2 linked regions of the Stegostoma tigrinum genome follow. The protein of the gene in region 2 interacts with the protein of the main gene of each other region in a pairwise test. Links are inferred from orthologs where the notes say so. Each region holds a gene or a part of one and is shown on either strand. Other genes may lie near its edges.

Region 1 (8,976 bases), on a different chromosome or scaffold from region 2:
GCAGTGTCACTTTTTTTGACTAAACAAAGAATTTATCTTGATACACCACTTAGTCATTATAGTGAAAAGGGAATGCATTTTCCCCAACATCCCGCGCCCCCCATCCCCACCCCCACACATACACAGTGACATAACAGGCTTAGAATTTAAACTTCCAATCACTTTCAATTTCAACTATGCAAGAAACATGTTCCATTTTCCCATTTACACATTTCTATGGAATTAAAAGTTACTAGCTTCAATTAATCAGATATACAAATTCCAACAATGCAGTATTTCTTAGAACTCTTTGCACCTTAGAAAATCAACATTTGTAACTTATTTCTTGTTTTTCTACTACATGTTCATATAGTGGTAATGTAATGAGCAGTTTTAAATAGATTCAGGTCTAACACCGCTCTTCACCCAGACTCATACTGCCAATTTTTTAGTTATGTGTTCCTTGTGTCGGAGTCTCCAGGCTGCCTTCCTCCAAGGTGGGAAACAGCATCAAAATATTGCAGAAGTCATGAACACTTCAATGAGATCCAGAATGTTATCATGGTGTAGAGCTGGATGAACACAGCAGGCCAAGCAGCAGAGCAGAAAAGTTGACGTTTCAGGCTGAGCTGCTTCTTCAGAAATGGTCTAGGCCCGAAATGTCAGCTTTCCTGCCCCTCTAATACTGCTTGGCCTGCTGTGTTCATCCAGCTCTACACCTTGTCATCTCAGATTCTCCAGCATCTGCAGTTCCTACTATCCCAAAAGATTATCAGTTCGTTTTACTCAAATTCCTTTCATCTATTTGGTCAATTCTCAAACTTCCACACTTCAATTAGCAATTTTGCAAGCTAAGTGAAGGTACCTTTATATCAGCTGTTTCAGCCTCAGTTACAAAAGAAACCAATGTGTGTCTGCTCCCTCCTTGCACTTACATGGTTATAACAAAACTCAAAGTCCCAGTGCCAGAGCCCATACTTTAGACTGAGAACTTGATACTATACAAGAAGAGTGCAATCTTCAGAAGGAAACCCAGTCTCCTTCCAACAGCAACACTCCTATATAGTACTAAAAGCAATTATACTGGATCACAACAGAACAAAGTTAATTAACAATGATACATCATTCTTGGTCGACCTTATTTCAGAATATTATGGCAAAGGAGAAATATTCCCTAACTTAATCTGATGTTCAACAGCTATGAATTTAACATGCAGTATGACAAAAATGTATTATGACTTCCTACCTTAGCGCTAATTAATGTTTTATTCCCAATCTAACTTACAGAATTTCCTTTCACCAGACAATCCATTGTTATTTTTGTTTTGAGTTCATGTTCGCTCCAATGTGCTCAAGGATTACAACCCACTAAGTAGAGATTTATGTAAGAAATCACTTGCACTACACAAGTCACCATTTGTCTTCCACAGCTTAGGGTAGAAGCATTAGCAGGCTACTTGATCACAAACTTTATGCCAGCCCCAAGAATATTCCAGCAGGAATAACTGGGCAGTAATACATTCTTCCTGTTCATCCTTCCCCAAAATTTGCCACTGTGACCGAGTATAGCAGTGTTACACGGACTATGCTGATCAGTATGCCTCACAACAGCACTGTTTTCCTCAATTGGTCAACAGTGAAGATCAGATACAAATGATTAAGAGGAACCCTGAAAGCTTGGTAAAGTTAAGGAATTTTTTTTGAATATTAAGAAACACTGGATTTGAAGAGAAGGGCTTACCTTTTGCCTCTTAGCTGGCGCAAATGATGAAATACATTTATCACATCTCTCACACGACGAGGTGCTTCCTCTATTTTGGATGCAAGATTGATACAAGCCATTGCAACAATCTGTAAAAAGAATCATTTTGATTATGAGCTAATTGGCTAAAATATTAACTCCACAAACAGTGGATTACTTTGCAGTAAAAACATATCACTTAAAACAATCCTTTTAGGCTCGCTTTCAAAGGCAAATTGATATTTAGGCATCCAGAGATCAACTTGCACCTTATGTTCTCTTCACAACCTAAGGCAATATTAACCTTTTTCTTAAAGCAAAACATGACACAAGATGTTTAATACCAAAGCATGAGGGACAACCCAAAGTTTGAAGGATCACTAACGAAAAGTAGCATTGTGTAGGAGTGAAGCTAAAGCAAGGTTAGAAGTCACAGTACAATGTACAAAGATTTGCTTAAACTCTACACCACAAAACTACATGTTTGAGGAAGTTTGAGGAAGGAACCCTGCTGGAACTAGTGCTTACATCAGAAGATTGAAGAATAAATTATTCTCCTTCAACATAGACAAACGTTTCCACTGCCTACATTTGAGGTTTATGAATAAAATGTAGTTTGAGGATCAATGATTACAGCAGAGGTCATTAGTTCACTAACAGCCGTTCAAATTGTCTGACACCCCTGAGGGTTACCACTGGCGTAAGAATTTAATCTACGCTTGTTACTCAATTCCCCCTTTCTGTTCTATTCCATACATGGTGTCCAAAAGACAATCTGCGACATGCAAGCATGTGATCAGAAACACCACGTCACAAATTGTGCTGGAACTTTTAAACTCAGTGAAACCCATTCCCAGTAACTAATGTAAAGATCAACTGAAAAACCGCATAAAAAACAGTAATCTATCAGACAAAACACTAAGGTTATGTAACCAAGGCAATGAAGAGTTAAAACAAATCAGCGCCATCAAATTTAGCTCCATCTCAAACAGCCACTTACGTTTACCACAAGAGATACAGAATCTGAAACGTGAGACCCATTTCACTTCAAACCTAATCTAACGCCAAGAATCCAACACCACACGTTTTCGGGGTACGTTTAAAAGTTGAAATTGCGATCCTCACACTACCTCCACGTTAGGGGAAGATGCCTCATTTACCGCACCCCCACCCTGAAACCGTGGATCACTTCCATTTTGGATAAACGACTCCACCCGGCCTCCATTTCCTGGGCTAAAACGATCGAATTCAAACCACCCAGAAAGCGGAACAGATCGGCCCAAAGGTTCCCCCACCCCCACTTGACGCCGAGCCGCCCGCCCATGGGACTCACCTCGAAACTGTGTTTGACGAAGGACTTGGAGAAGAAGAACCGCTGAAAGAGAACCTGAGCTGTCGCCATGGCCACCTGCCGGGGGGGGGGTGGGGGGGGGAAGAGAAGAGAAAGAAAGGACACAGAAAACAGAGCGTCAGCGACTGGAGACGAGGATAAGGCGCGGCCTTCGCGTCGCGGCCCGAGCCGGAGCCCGCCAAGATCCACCCACCTGCGGTAAACGCAGCAGGATCCCGGCCGACTGGATCAGTTCACAGCCCAGGATCCGCAGGTCGGTCTCCACCTCCAGGTCCAGGCCATCCTGCATGGATGGTGTGGGTGAGAGCTTCTCCTCGGGGATGAGGGAGTTGTCGATAGTCAGGAAGACAGCCGAATAAACCTTGTCTCCGATCAGAATGCCCTCGCCCGCCGCCATCTTGTCTTGAAACAAAAAATAAAATGGGGAAAAGGAAGGAGCAGGCGCAGAGCGCGGCGCCTAACCCCACGGGACAACGCGTTGTATCAACACGCCTCAGAATATAGATCCGCCCCAAACACAACCAAAACCGGCAAGGGAAACGCCTTGAAATCTACCTGGGAGGTGCCCAAATCCCGGGATCACGCTTTCGAATTGTTCCGTGATTAACAAACTCCGACTGCGTGAGATGACACTCCGGGTTTCGCAACAGTGACGGGGAAATGCCGTGACGTAATTTCTGGGAAGTCTCTCGGCGCTTCACCACTGCGGAACGAGCGAGGCCCGGAACCTGTTTTGCCGGCGCGCGCATCGGAGCTGACGTCAGTCACACCCTCTCCATTGTGACGCAGTTAGTCGCTGCCTATTGGCTGGCGCACCGTGATGTTTTCATGGAATCCAGAGACTATTTCTGCGGCAAGGTGTTGTTTCATTGAAACTGCATGTTCCTTTGGGTGAACGTACAGAAAGGCAGCCACAGTCACTAAAAACAAGATCACGTACTGTACAGTGTTAACAGTGCTTTAATTCATTTATTCCTGTATTTAATCCTTATCAATGAATACTTTCAGATCAAAACTGAGACCAATAGAATGCAAGAGCCATTGCAAGTCTTCGTGGGGTACTTATTTGATTGATTTGGCTTTCACCAAGTAAAAGAATGCCAATCTGTTGGAAACACTGAAGGAGTCAGGCAACATCTGTACATAATCTGTTCCTTCAGACACCCAGCGCAGAAGCAGTAGTCAAATCAGACACCAATCCCGTGGGCCTTTTATGTGAGGGTTGCCTAAGGTGTCCATCCCCAAGCCAAGGTTTGGTATAGCCATGGGGGAAGCAAATTTTGCCTGCCTGCCTCACTTTTGCAGCTTAGTCGGTACCCTGTGAAGAAGAACACACCAGTACCTGGCACCAATTTCCAGCATAGCAGCTTCCTGACACCTAGAACAAATCAATTACACACTTGATTCAACAATGTTAAAATCTCAAAGTTCTCATATTTCAGCATTGGAATGGTCTGCTTCCACTGAACACTCTGGGAAAAGAGTTTATCACATTAGATTAAAATTTATGTTTTTCTTGTCTCTACTGGTTTGTCACAAGAGGAGTTGGACCAGTATTTATCATTTTCCAGTTTTACTGGTTTTTCCTCTGGGTAGGATCAAACAATCTAAATTATGAAGACCGACTGGTAAAACCTCAGCAATTAAATTTAAAAATATTCTTGTTTAATCTATTCCATTGTCATAGATACTTTCATATCTCTATATTACTAGCTGTCAATCACTTTTTCAGATTGAAATGTGCAGTTTTATCATTTCTCTCTTCATAAGAGAGACTGTTTGAATCCACCCAGAAGGGGAACAAAAAAAAACACAGCTGGGGAATGAGACATACTGGTCCAACTCACCTTGTACACTTAAAAATGGAGGACCAATACAATTATGCTGTAAATATTAGTATAATTAATTGGTTTGCCCCTTGGTAGGGATCAGCTTTGTGGTTCTACACACCTGTAGGGGCTTGAATTCTCCCCTTTGTCCTCTGCAACACAGCTGGATGGCAAAATAAGAAATTGATCTTAAATAACAATTTAAGTGTAATAAAGCATCATTATTAATTTCACAGGTTTTCTCTTCACTCCAAGGGGGTGACGTTGTAGCCATTTTGCCTTAAATAAAATGTGTAGAACGGAAACAGCAGTAGGCCAAACTCCTCTCCAAAAACAAAGCCATATCACAACATAGAACCTCCTCCAAAAAGCTGTAAATTAGGAATTCGCTCTTAAAAGCAACCTCAAGTAGTATCTAATTATCAGTGTATTACATAGACTATTTCATACATAGAATCCCTACAATGTGGAAACAAGCCCTTCATCCCAACAAGTCCACACTGACCCTCAGAGCATCTCACCCAGACCCATCCCCCTATGGCCCACCTAATCTACAAATCCCAGAACACTATGGGCAATTTAACATGCCAATCCACCTATGATTTTAAAATTTTCAAAAGCTTCCATAGGAAATTAATGATATGTATAGTTACTAAGAGTGTTGTGACATTAGGACTGAAGAGGTAGATCATTTGAAAGTGACAATACTAGGCTTTTTTTTGCACTTGTTTCCTAATCATATACCCAGTATTGGCCATTTTCGCAGTGGGGGTGGGGGGAGAAGAAACACTGTGGCTGAATTCAACCTACAGAGGTGGATAGAGCTTTGTCAACAATATGTTGAGATGGTCAACAGGCCTTTTCCAGTCTATTTCCAGTCAGTGCACTCAAGGACAGATCAACAGCCTCAAGATGAGAACCCAGAAGCAGGCTGGGTAGCTTCTCCAGAGAGCTACACAGGCCCTACTTTGCTTAGAATCAGAGTTGTACGACACAAACGGATCCTTTGGTTCAACTCACCCATGCCGACCAGATATCCCAAATTAGTCTAGTCCTATATCCCTCTAAACCCTTCCTATTCATATCCTCATCCAGAGGCCTTTTATGTTGTCATTGTAGCAGGCTCTACCACTTCCTCCAGCAGTCCATTGCATACACAAACCACCCTCTACATGAAAAAGTAGCCCCTTAGGTCCCTTTTAACATCTTTCCTCTCTCACCTTCAGCCTATGCCCTCTACGTTTGGACCCCCACACCCAGGGAAAAGACCTTGTGAATTCAGCCCATTCCATGCCCTCACACCCCATGATTTTATAAACTTTTATAACATCACCCGTCAGCCTGCAATGCTCCAGGGAAGATAGCCACAGACTATTCAGCTTCTTCCCTATAGTGAAAAAGCTCCAAACCTGGCAACATCCTTGTAAATCTTTTCTGAATCATTTCAGGTTTAACAACATTCTTTCCTGTAGCAGGGAGACTAGAACTGAATGCAGAACTACAGAAATGGCCTAAATGGCCTGCACAGCTGCAACATGACCTCCAAACTTCTGTACACAATACACTGATCAATAAAGGCAAGTGCACCACCAAACATCATCACCACCCTATACCTACAACTCCACTTTCGTGACGGTGACAGTGACAGTGACATGCTTTTACACAGTGTCTGAGAGGACACTGCCTTACTCAACCTCCCTCACCGTCATTTATCTACTACTGCAACTGGGTGCACCTGTGAAGCTAGAAGAACTTTCATTGGTCCTCCAGCTCTCATAACACCGTCACTTCCTTTCATTGAATGGGAAGCCTGTTCCATACCTATTAAGGGCCCACGTAGCAATCTTAATTTCAATCAGTATCCTATCACAGGCAGGTTTGGGAATGAAAGCAGTCCAGGTGACACCTGTTTTGCATCTCTGTTGGGAATATTCAACTGACAATTTCTGTAAATATTCTGATCTCTTTAGACACAGCCTCTCAATCCATGGATTAAGCCAAGAATTATTACTTTTGCCAGATGACAAAAACCCAGCTGAGACCAGCATCAAAGACTCTGAATTTCAGGAATATAATCAGATAAAAGAGATCAACACTGAGCCATAGAAGGAGATATTGAAACAGGTAATGGCAAAGTCACCATAGTGCCAGAGGAGATGGTGATGCTGTCATTAAAGGGAGACAACTGGCAATGAGTGTGAACTGGGGGTCGCCACACCTCAGGCAAGGTTGACAAGGCAGCACATTCATGGCAACCTCAACTAGCAAAGGAATTGCACCCATACTGTTAGCATCACTCTGTAAGCCAGCTGTCCCCTCCACTGTCGGCATTTTGTAGAGACCATTCGTTGTGTGACACCCTGGTCCATTCCTCCATCATTTCTTCAATCCTCATTGTACCTTTCCATACACAGGCAGAATTGTAACAGTTGCCCAGTCACTTCCTCCTTCCTCACTGTCCAAGGCCACAAACACATCCAGATAAAGCAGTATTACCCTGGTACCTCTTTACGATGTAGTCTCCTGCTGCTCCTACTGCGTTCTCTGCTCACAATGCAGTCTCATTTATGCTGGTGAAACAAAATGCAGATTAAGTGACCACATTGTGGAACAATTCTGCTCTGTCCCTAGGAATAACCCTGAACTCCTGAGTGCTTGCTACTTTAATAAACCAACTTGTATACATGCTAATGTGTCCGTGGACTGCAGTGGTTCAAGAAGGCAGCACATCACCCACCACCTTCTGAAGGGCAACTTGGGATGGCCAATAAATGCTGGCCAGCCAGTGACACCCTCATCCCATGAGCAAACTTTGTTTATTAAACCCTTCTGTCTTGGGCTTGACGATAAATCCAAGGGTGGGGAGATGTCGTCTTGCTAGGAACTACAGGCTGGCAATTTGGGAAGATGATGGGCCCTGTGGCAGGTTGGGGAAGATGCGGTGTCCGTAAGTGTCAGGCTGAGAGAGGAGAGCATCAGAGTACCAGTGATGCTTGTGGGATCTGGAGAATGATCAGGCCAGCAGGTTGTGGAAGGTGTCATAAGGAAAGGTATTGGGACTAAAATGCCAGACCTAGGGTGAGGGAGTGTCCGGTCCAAGGGGTTTGGTCTCATGTCCAGGGAATCAGGCTGGCGAGTTGGGGATGTGGTGGCAGATCCAAAAGGGAGTTATTGTTTTGGGGGAAACAGGTCAGTAGCTGAGGTCCTGGGTATGGTAGAGGATCATGTCAGTTGGTGGTGTTTAGTTGTAGGAGTGGTTGGGTGGGTGGGAGGGCTGGTGGTTCAGAGGTTTGGGTGTGTAAGAGGTTTCAGGGTAGTAATCAGGGTGTAAATGGTGAATTTGACATTTAGTTTAATATTTATGCAAGAGTTAGGATGGGTTTTGATCCTCTAACATATCCTAGCTGGAAGATGTAAAATTCTGACCTAAATAGACTCTCTTAGAGGGTTCCAGGTACGGAGTAAATGCCTGTCAGGATCTTCAATTACCCAGACAATTCAAATAGCATCTACTGTGTCTAAGGTTCTGCATGTTCCTAATGAATAATTCCAGTCCTTACCGCTGAAATAATTCTAGCTATTAGAGTACTGTCTTCCCCTCTTGTGTCCCTCTGCTTGCCCCCGTTGAATTTCATCTGCCATTGGTCTGTCGATTTTTTTTCTTTTCTTTTCTTTTTTTTCCTACAGCACCTGTGTTGTGTATATGTATGTATGTGTGTGTGTAATTCCAGTAACTCAGTGAAGAAACCATGTGCAAAAACTTCATTAATATTTCCACCACCAGGAAGACAACTATGTGCCCAGTGAACCAGTAACGAGTTGACCTGTCCATATACACATTTACACAATTACCAAATTAATTCCATAATATGTGTTCTTCGTTGCAATTCCACATGTACAGTGTGATTTTAAAATAGGCTGATTGCCTTGACTTTGTGAATAAAGATTACTGACATCAATTATAAATAACAATAATCTTGACGTCAATTCCTGAGACATTCGACTTCAGACCATCCCACCAACATTTGGTTCTTAGCGTTGATTAGATTGCTTCACACATAGTGAGAGGGAGATTA
Region 2 (8,310 bases):
ATCTTATGGCAGAGATGTAGTGCCCTTATCTCTAAGCCAGGAGGCCCAGGTTCAAGTCTCACCTGGTCGCCAAGTGTGTAACAACATCCCTAAACAGGTTGTTTAGAAAATATCTACACCCAATGCAAGAAATCAAAACTATTGCTGCTCTCCAAGTTTGGACTCACCATAGACCAGCACTGTTGTATTAAGACTTCCCTGCTTTCACACAACTCCCTCGCAAGAAGCATTAATATTCCATTTGCCTTTCGAATTACTTATAGGGCTTGCCTAACGTTTTCTGATTGATGGACAAGAGGACCCATGTCCTTACTTTGGGCATATAACTGCTGGCGATCTGGATAAGTGATTTCGTTAAAACATTTAAGATTCTAAAGGGACTCTATACTGAAGGGTAGATTTTGAAAAGATGTTTTCCCCTCTTGAGCAATATATAGCTGGAGGTCAGGATTTCTAAGTAAGTTCATTCCCATAAGACAGAGATGAGGATTATTTTTTATCCTGTACCAGAGGATTATGAATCCTTGGAATTCTCCATCCCAAGCAGCAGGGGCATTTGGCTATTTTAGGCTACGTTAGACAGGTTTTACACAAAGACGACAAAATTTGAAACTCTCCTCAAAGATTTTTGGCTGTTATAACAATTAGAGCTGAGCACTGGATATGGATTTCTATTTAATAAGGCTATAATGGGATATGCAGCAAGTGCTGAAATGCAGGCACAAATCTGAGGCTAACAGTGCTACCGTCTGCTCTTCAAGACATCCCAAAGTGCTTTATAGCCGATTAATAACAAGAAATGTAATCACGTTTTAATATAGAAAAATATGGCTGCCATTTTTCCCATAGCAAGGTCAAATTAACAGTAAAATTACAGCAATCAGATTTGTAGTGATGTTGTTGAAGAAATGAATGCTGGCCACGACATTGCTGTTCTTCAAACATTTCCACTGAAGTGTTTACATTCATTTGATGTGTCCAATAACGAATGCAGAGAATCAGAAGATTTTTGGGGCTTTGACAGTTACTACGAAGAAGTCACTGAGTAATTACAAACTAGCTAATGGGTTCCCAAAGCATTAATTTAGGTCATTCATTAATGTGGATAACTTCCTGTTATAACATGTTGAATCATCTCCACCACTGTACCAAGAAATCAAAAACAATATTATTATTTAAGAATGAACTGCATGTTGCAATGAGAAAATTTCAGATCTATTCTGATTGGATGGTTCACTAAATGGCCTTCCTGCTCTGTGTACCCTTGAAACAGACAGTGCATAAATGCACTCAGGAGCTTCATATTTGCACAGCCTGCCTTGCATTTATATACTTAAAAGAAATATTGACCGTGCACTGCAGCAAAATATTGGACAATATCTTAACAGTTCTGGTTGTTTCATTGGGCTGATTAATATAACTATCCAATATGCTGAGGTATGAACATTATGGCATCTTGCCTTTATGTAGCACGTGGGACATTACAAGCAATCTTAAGAACACACAGCAGGCTCAGATAAAAATGAACATCAAGCCAGAGGAAGATATGAGGACAAGAGATTAAACAGTTGGGTTTTGAAAGCAAGAGTGGCAAAGTGATTCACAGTGGGTAGCACTACTGCCTCACAGACCAGAGACCAATTCCACCCTCAGGCAACAACTGTGTGTGGAGTTTGCACACATTCTTTGTGTGTCTGTATCGGTTGCCCCGAATGCTCCGATTTTCTCCCAAGTCCAAAGATTTGCAGGTTAGGTGGATCGGCCATGCTAAATTACCCACAGCGGCCAAGGATGTACAGGGATGGGGTAAAGGGGTGGGTCTGAGTGGGATGTTCTTCAGCAGGTTAGTGTGGACTTGGTGGGCCAAATGGGGGTCTGCTTCAACACTGCGATGGATTAGCCATTGGAAATGCATCTTTTTTTAAAAAGTTCATACAAGGGATGGGGGCATCTCTGACCAGGCAGCATTAATTGCCCATCTAAAATTGCACAGAGGGCAGTTAAGTGTCAACTAAACTGCTGAGAGTCTGGAGACACATGTAGGGACAGACCTGGTAAGGATGCAAGTTTCCTTCCCAAAAGGACATCGGTGAACCAGATGGCTTTTTCCAACAAGTGAAAATAGATTCATGGTCATCATTAGACTCTTAATTCCAGATATTATTGAATTCAAATTCCACCATTTGCCATGGTGGGATTTGAACCCAGGTCTCCAGAACATTATCTGGGTTTCTGGATTAACAGTCCAGTGATAATACCACTAGGCCATCACCTCGCCTTACAGGGATGGGGTAAAGGGTTGAGTCTGAGAAGGATAATAAAATGTGAGGCTGGATGAACACAGCAGGCCAAGCAGCATCTCAGGAGCACATGGTCTGCTTCCACACTGCAGGGATTCTATGAAGTCTTCAAGGCACTGAAAAGGTGAAAAAGCAAAGACCTGTGGAGATAATTCCAAAGTGCTGAGTCCAGGCAGCTGAAAAAGTTGATGTCTATGCTCAGGCAAAGTAAGTGGACTGGCAACAGATAATCATAAACATTCATTTTTCAGGCCTATGTAATGTATCTACCTGCACATTTATGTACAATATTATGTTTTATGCAAATGTATGCCCCAATCATGTTTGTTCAGTACAACAGAATATAAGATGAAGTATGCCTGAAAATTATTTTGCATCAGCAAATCCAATAAAACCATATTCGACTTTTCATTCATTTCATCTTGACAGTAGGTTTATTTCTGCACTTTCAACAAATCAGAACAAATTACTTTTACAATATATTTAATGTGAATTTACCATTGAGCAATCGGGATAGAACAGACCAGTAGAGTTTCCTTTTTCATTATTCTAATATCACCTGGCTTTTTACTCATTTTGAGGGAAGGGCCGGGTACGCCATGTTGTTAAACTGTGTATTTTCATTTATTGCACGACGAACGGCTGGGAACAGATTTTGAATTTCCGCACAAAAATGTAACCCTGATCAACGTAAACCAACTGCGATTTTCACCCTCCCAGCCGATTCGTCCATTCATTCATAATTACACGGAACCGCTTTGATGTTTTTTTAAACTCGGAAGCGCCGCGCTACCCCTTTCCGCCAAGAGGAATGGACACAGCGAGCGATCGGTGAGGCTCCCCCGCGGCCTGCAAAACGCCCCGCCCGCTAACCATCAGGCCATCATCCAGCCGCCTCTCACAACACGCGCCCATCTTGCAGAGGTCGCTGTGCGGCCCAGTCACGGACAGAAAGCCCGGTCGCCGGCGGGGGCAGCAGCTGCCACTCGGGCCTCTCATGGAGCAGGGCTCGGATGAGGCGAACCTCTCCCTCATCGCGGACTCGGCTCCAGTAAAGGGGCGACTCTGTTCATTGCAGTTCCCCCACTCACCATGTTCTCGGCTCCGCTCTAGCGCGGCCCTCACGACCCGCAGTAACAGCGGCGCACGATTCGACTGGCTCAGCCCTGCAATGGGGCAAAGGTCAAAGGTGACAGGATCTGCGTCCCCGACGCGCACTACTGATTGACAGCGCTATTCACCTATCAGACGCAGAGAACTGTCTAACCCCGCCTCTCGAGCTGCTTCACCGTGTTATCAACCAACGAAGTGACGACTATAATCCAGACCCGCCCCTTCGTTCCGAGTGACAGCGCTGTTCGCCAGACAATGTAACAGTTCACCCCGCCTCTTCCCGCAGAATGATGGACAAGTAACCAATCAAGTGCTGGAAATATGTTCCACGCCCCTCGCTTTGAGTGACAGCACTTTTCACCTGTAGACTACGAGGAAAGGACGTTCGTCCCGCCCTTCACCCGGTGTCGGCATTATCACCAATCATGTGCCGCAAAGCGGAACGCCAGTCCCGCCCTCCCCACACTCTTCTTTTGATTGGATAAAGCAGGCGGCCGGGGGTGGGCTCTTTTCACGCTTTCGGTTGGTTCGACAGAGAGTTGGAGAGAGAGGCGGGAAGCAGGTTTCAGGTGGTGGTTCTCTTTCTGTGGGAGACGGAGCCGTGGCTCTGTACTGGTAGTTTTCGGCGGTAGTAGTTACTGCTCGATGCCGCGGTACTTGAAGCGGAGCGGGATGTCCGCTCTGCCCGAAGGCCTGTGGCCAGACGGTGGGGAGCTGATAGTCTGTGAATCGGACGTCGATTCGCCTGGCGTTCGTTCACAGACAGATTCCGCGAAGGAGGCCGTGGTCCTACCGAGTCACAGGACGAGGCCAAACCGGGCACTGGTGCCGACTGCCTATAGTGACTGCCGGAGTAAGAAGTGGCCGGCCCGGCTGTGCTCAATGCTGTGTTGTATCATCGTGATATCGTTCATTGCCTTTCTTCTAGCGGTTATGTACTTAATCCTCAAAGGTACTGATGTTCATCAGTTGATTTCTTGAGGAAGCTTTAAAACTTTGTTAAGCATTGAACTTTGAACTTTGGTTTAAAATAACCTGAATTACGATTGCAGATTTGCGCTGGGATAGAGAAAACAGTGAGGATGGTGTTAAAACCGGTATTTTAGGTAACGTATCCTTTTGAAGTTGGCACTTTGGTTTAAATGTACTAGCCCCTCCCCCTTTTTCTTGTCACTTTTTAACAACTTTCTTTTTTTCAGGCCTTTGGAGTGCGTTGATTTTGGCTTTGACGGCTGGTTTCTCATGTTGCAGTTTCTCATGGACATTGACGTATTTTGATTCATTCGAACCCGGAATGTTTCCACCGACACCCTTGTCACCTGCTCGATTTAGGTAAATTCTGGTTTCTGATATCAAATGGAGCTTTATATTTTCTTAAGGGTAAAATGTCCCAGATGTAAATAATATGCACATGAGACAGTTGAGGATAAATAGAGTCAGAACGTACTTGGTAATCTGAAAACCCTGGTAATTTTGCAGTTTTCCCACCCTCTCTGACCTAAGTGTTTGTTTGTCTCCTGTACACGTGTGTTTACTGAACTAGGTTGATATCATGTTTGATCCTGAACTCGGCTTTTCATTGTCTCAGTTTATATCAAGGCTATATATTGCTGTGTCTTAGACGGCTACGCTCGGCCTTGTCTTGTTCCATTCCCAACTTACTTCACACTCCTCAATTCACCATTTCCGGGCTGAATCCCCTACTTGCAAGTTACCCATGGACTTTCATTTGCAAAGTTGAATCCTCTCTCAAATTGAGACATCACCCTTATTGCATGCAATTGGCTACTTTCCCCCAAAATGTTGACTTGAAAGTTCTTGTCTATGTGTACAAATCTTTGTGTTCTTGACTTATTCTGACCCCAAGGATAGCTGTACATGCCAAACTTTATTGTCCTCCCCGTCCTCCCCCTCCTCCCCCTCCTCCTCCTGTCTTTGAACAGTTGTCTGGGACCAACTATCTTGGATTTCCTGAATGACTTCCTTTGATTCCTTTTATTTCTGTAGCTAAGCTTGCTTCTGTTTGTTGCAATAACTTGTAATATTTAATATTTTTAAGTCTTTTTTTCTGAAGTGCAGTTCACAATGTTGGATGTTTGAAATGTGGCACTGTGGGTAAACCATGTCAGTGCTTATCTACATGAGGATCCATGATTGATGCAAGAAATCTGTCAAATATTAATTTGATTTGCAAGTGCTAGTATCCTGATTGGTAACTCTGGAAAAAATAATTTGCTCCTCAAATAAAACCAAAATGCTGCAGATGTTGGAAACTTGAAATAAAAATGCCTTGGAGAAACCCAGTGGGTGTGGGAGCATCTGTGAAAAGAAAAAGCGAATGTTTCAGTCCAATATGGCTCTTCCTCCTATCTACATATATATTTGAATCTATTACTTGAACAGATCAGAAAATGTGATGAGTGCTTTCTGAGAGAAAATTAATATGCTGAATGTGTATCTGATTTAGTTAATATTTAAACTTTTTAAACTTATGTTCATCTTGATTACTCAATTTCTGGCATGGGGTACATCCAATTATGTTTTTTAAATAAAGTAAGGATGGTACCAGCTCTGTTTTAAAACAAAATAATGATCGTGATGCTAAAGCAAAGGAATCAACCTCACTACAGTTTAAAATGAATGAATACAATGCAGTAGTAATATGCAGAACATGTCATAGGTTCAGAGCATTAATTTAAGTAGAGATGTGGTGGATACCAATGGAGAGAGCAATATTACACGAGTGAAATAATTTCTTAAATCCTGAAATGTCAGGGGCATCTCAGAATTTTTTTACAAATCTGCAGTTTAGACAGCACAGACATTTTTTTTTTTTTGGTTTCCACTTGCTGTTGCCAGAAATCTCATAAGAATTGCTTTGCTCCAGTTCATGTGTGCAGCTCCAAAATTAAAATGGTTGAATAACAAGTGAAGTTACTGTTTTGTGTGTCTAGGGCACACACTGCCCTGCACTTGAGCCAAAAACAAGCTTCACCTGGAAAGACAAACTTACTCTCATTTTCATCGGAAATATGACCTAAATAGCACTGGTAGGTTGTGCTTCCAGGATCTTGTATGAAAGGGCATTCTACAGACAAATATCCACTTGCCTTTGCTTGTATTTTTTAAAAAAGACAAACTATTACCCTCACCTGTCCTGGCCCAAGTTTGTTATTTTGGTGTTCTTTAATATTTCTGTCAGGGACCCGGGTTCGATTCCAGCCTCGGGCAACTGAGTGGAGTTTGCACATTCTCTCCTGTGTTGATTTTTTTCTTCTCGGTTCTCTGGTTTCCTCCCATAATCCAAAAATGCACAAGTTAGGTGGATTGACCATGCTAAATTGCCCCACAGTGGCCAGGGATATGAAGGTTAGATGTGTTAGCCATGAGAAATATTGGGTGGGGAATGGGTCTGTATGTGATGCCTATCAGAAGATTGGTGTGGACTCTTTGGGCCGAACAGCCTATTTCCACACCGTAGAGACTCTATGATGATCTTAACTTGTCAATCAATTAAATTAGATAATCCTGATCAAAATATCTGTTTTGCCTCGATCAGATCTCCTCCAACTTTATTTTCCAATGAAAAGCTTTGCAAATCTGTTGTATAAGTAAATCTCTTCTGCATTGGTTTGCTATGCCTCTTCAAGGCCATAAGATGTAGGAACAGAATTAGGCCATTTGGACCATACAGTCTGTTCCACCGTTCAATCATGTTTGATATGTTTCTCAACACCATTCTCTTGCCTTCCTTTCTTAATCTTTCATGCCCTTGCTAATCAAGAACCTATCTATCTGTCTTAGACACTCAATGACTTGGCCTCCATGGCCCTCTCTGGCAATGACTTCCACATTAACCACCCTCTGGTTGAAGAAATTCCTTCTCCTTTTAGTCCCTTCATTCTGAGGTTATCATCTAATCTCTAGTTGTAGTACTAGTCTCTCCTAGTAGTAGAACCATCTTCTCCATGCCCACTCTATCCAGAGCCCTCATTATTCTGCAAGTTTCAATCAGATCCTACTCTTAGCTTTTTAAACTCCATTGATTACAGACCCAAAGTCCTCAACCACCCTGGGATCTCTGGATCATTTGTAATGCCAGCTCATCCACCCCTTAGATGTGGGGTCCAAACTGCTAAATATTCCAAAACAGCCTGAGCAGCATGTTTTTGCTATTCTATTCTTAACCCTTTTGAAATGAAGGTCAACATAGCATTTGTCTTCTAACTGCCAACTGAACCTGCATGTTAGTTTTGAGATAACAAGGTGCAGAGCTGGATGAACACAGCAGGCCGTGCAGCATCAGCAGAGCAGGAAAGCTGACATTTTGGGCCTATTTCTGAAGAAGATTTTCTGAAGAAGGGTCTGGGACTGAAATGTCAGCTTTCCTGCTCCTCTGATGCTCAGTTGTGTTCATCCAGCTCTGCACCTTGTTATCTTAGATTCTCCATCATCTGCAGTTCCTACTGTCTCTTAGTTTTGAGAATCCTGAATAAAATTCCCAAGTCCCTTTGTGCTTCAGATTTCAAAAACCTTTCCTGTTTGCAAAACGGTCTGCTCTGCTATTCCTACCAAAGTGACACTTTCCCACAATGTATTCCATCTGTCACTTTGCCCACTCTCCTAGACTGTCCAACTCCTTCAGGCTCCCTGCTCCTCCACCTAGCTTTGTGCCATCAGCAAACTTAGCAACAATGGCCCCAGTTCCTTCATCCAGATCAAGAATGCATAACGTGAATAGTTGTGGTACCACTGGAATACCATTAGTTGCTGGCTGTCATCCTGAGAAGACCTCTTCTCTCCACCTCCTGCCAGTATCTTGCCTTAACACCATTGGCTCGTAGCTTATTTAGCAGCTTCCTGTGTTGCACCTTGTCAAAGGCCCTCTGGAAATCCA

The links.
Region 1: the proteins of prpf40a (region 2) and ccnl1a interact in binary tests that used the Homo sapiens proteins (3 or more experiments, as listed by UniProt). The link is inferred for Stegostoma tigrinum from reciprocal best matches to the Homo sapiens genes PRPF40A and CCNL1.

The regions. Positions count from the first base shown.
Region 1 is NC_081367.1:32,459,466-32,468,441, reverse strand, and holds the start of ccnl1a (cyclin-L1a), read right to left. Parts: upstream 3,474-8,976; 5' UTR 3,469-3,473; coding exon 3,265-3,468; intron 3,129-3,264; coding exon 3,054-3,128; intron 1,831-3,053; coding exon 1,721-1,830; intron 1-1,720. UniProt on the Homo sapiens protein: Involved in pre-mRNA splicing. Functions in association with cyclin-dependent kinases (CDKs). Inhibited by the CDK-specific inhibitor CDKN1A/p21. May play a role in the regulation of RNA polymerase II (pol II).
Region 2 is NC_081360.1:54,268,776-54,277,085, forward strand, and holds the start of prpf40a (pre-mRNA-processing factor 40 homolog A), read right to left. Parts: upstream 3,497-8,310; 5' UTR 3,395-3,496; coding exon 3,392-3,394; intron 1-3,391. Other genes in the region: arl6ip6 (ADP-ribosylation factor-like protein 6-interacting protein 6), read left to right, coding at 4,059-4,365, 4,466-4,519, 4,613-4,745.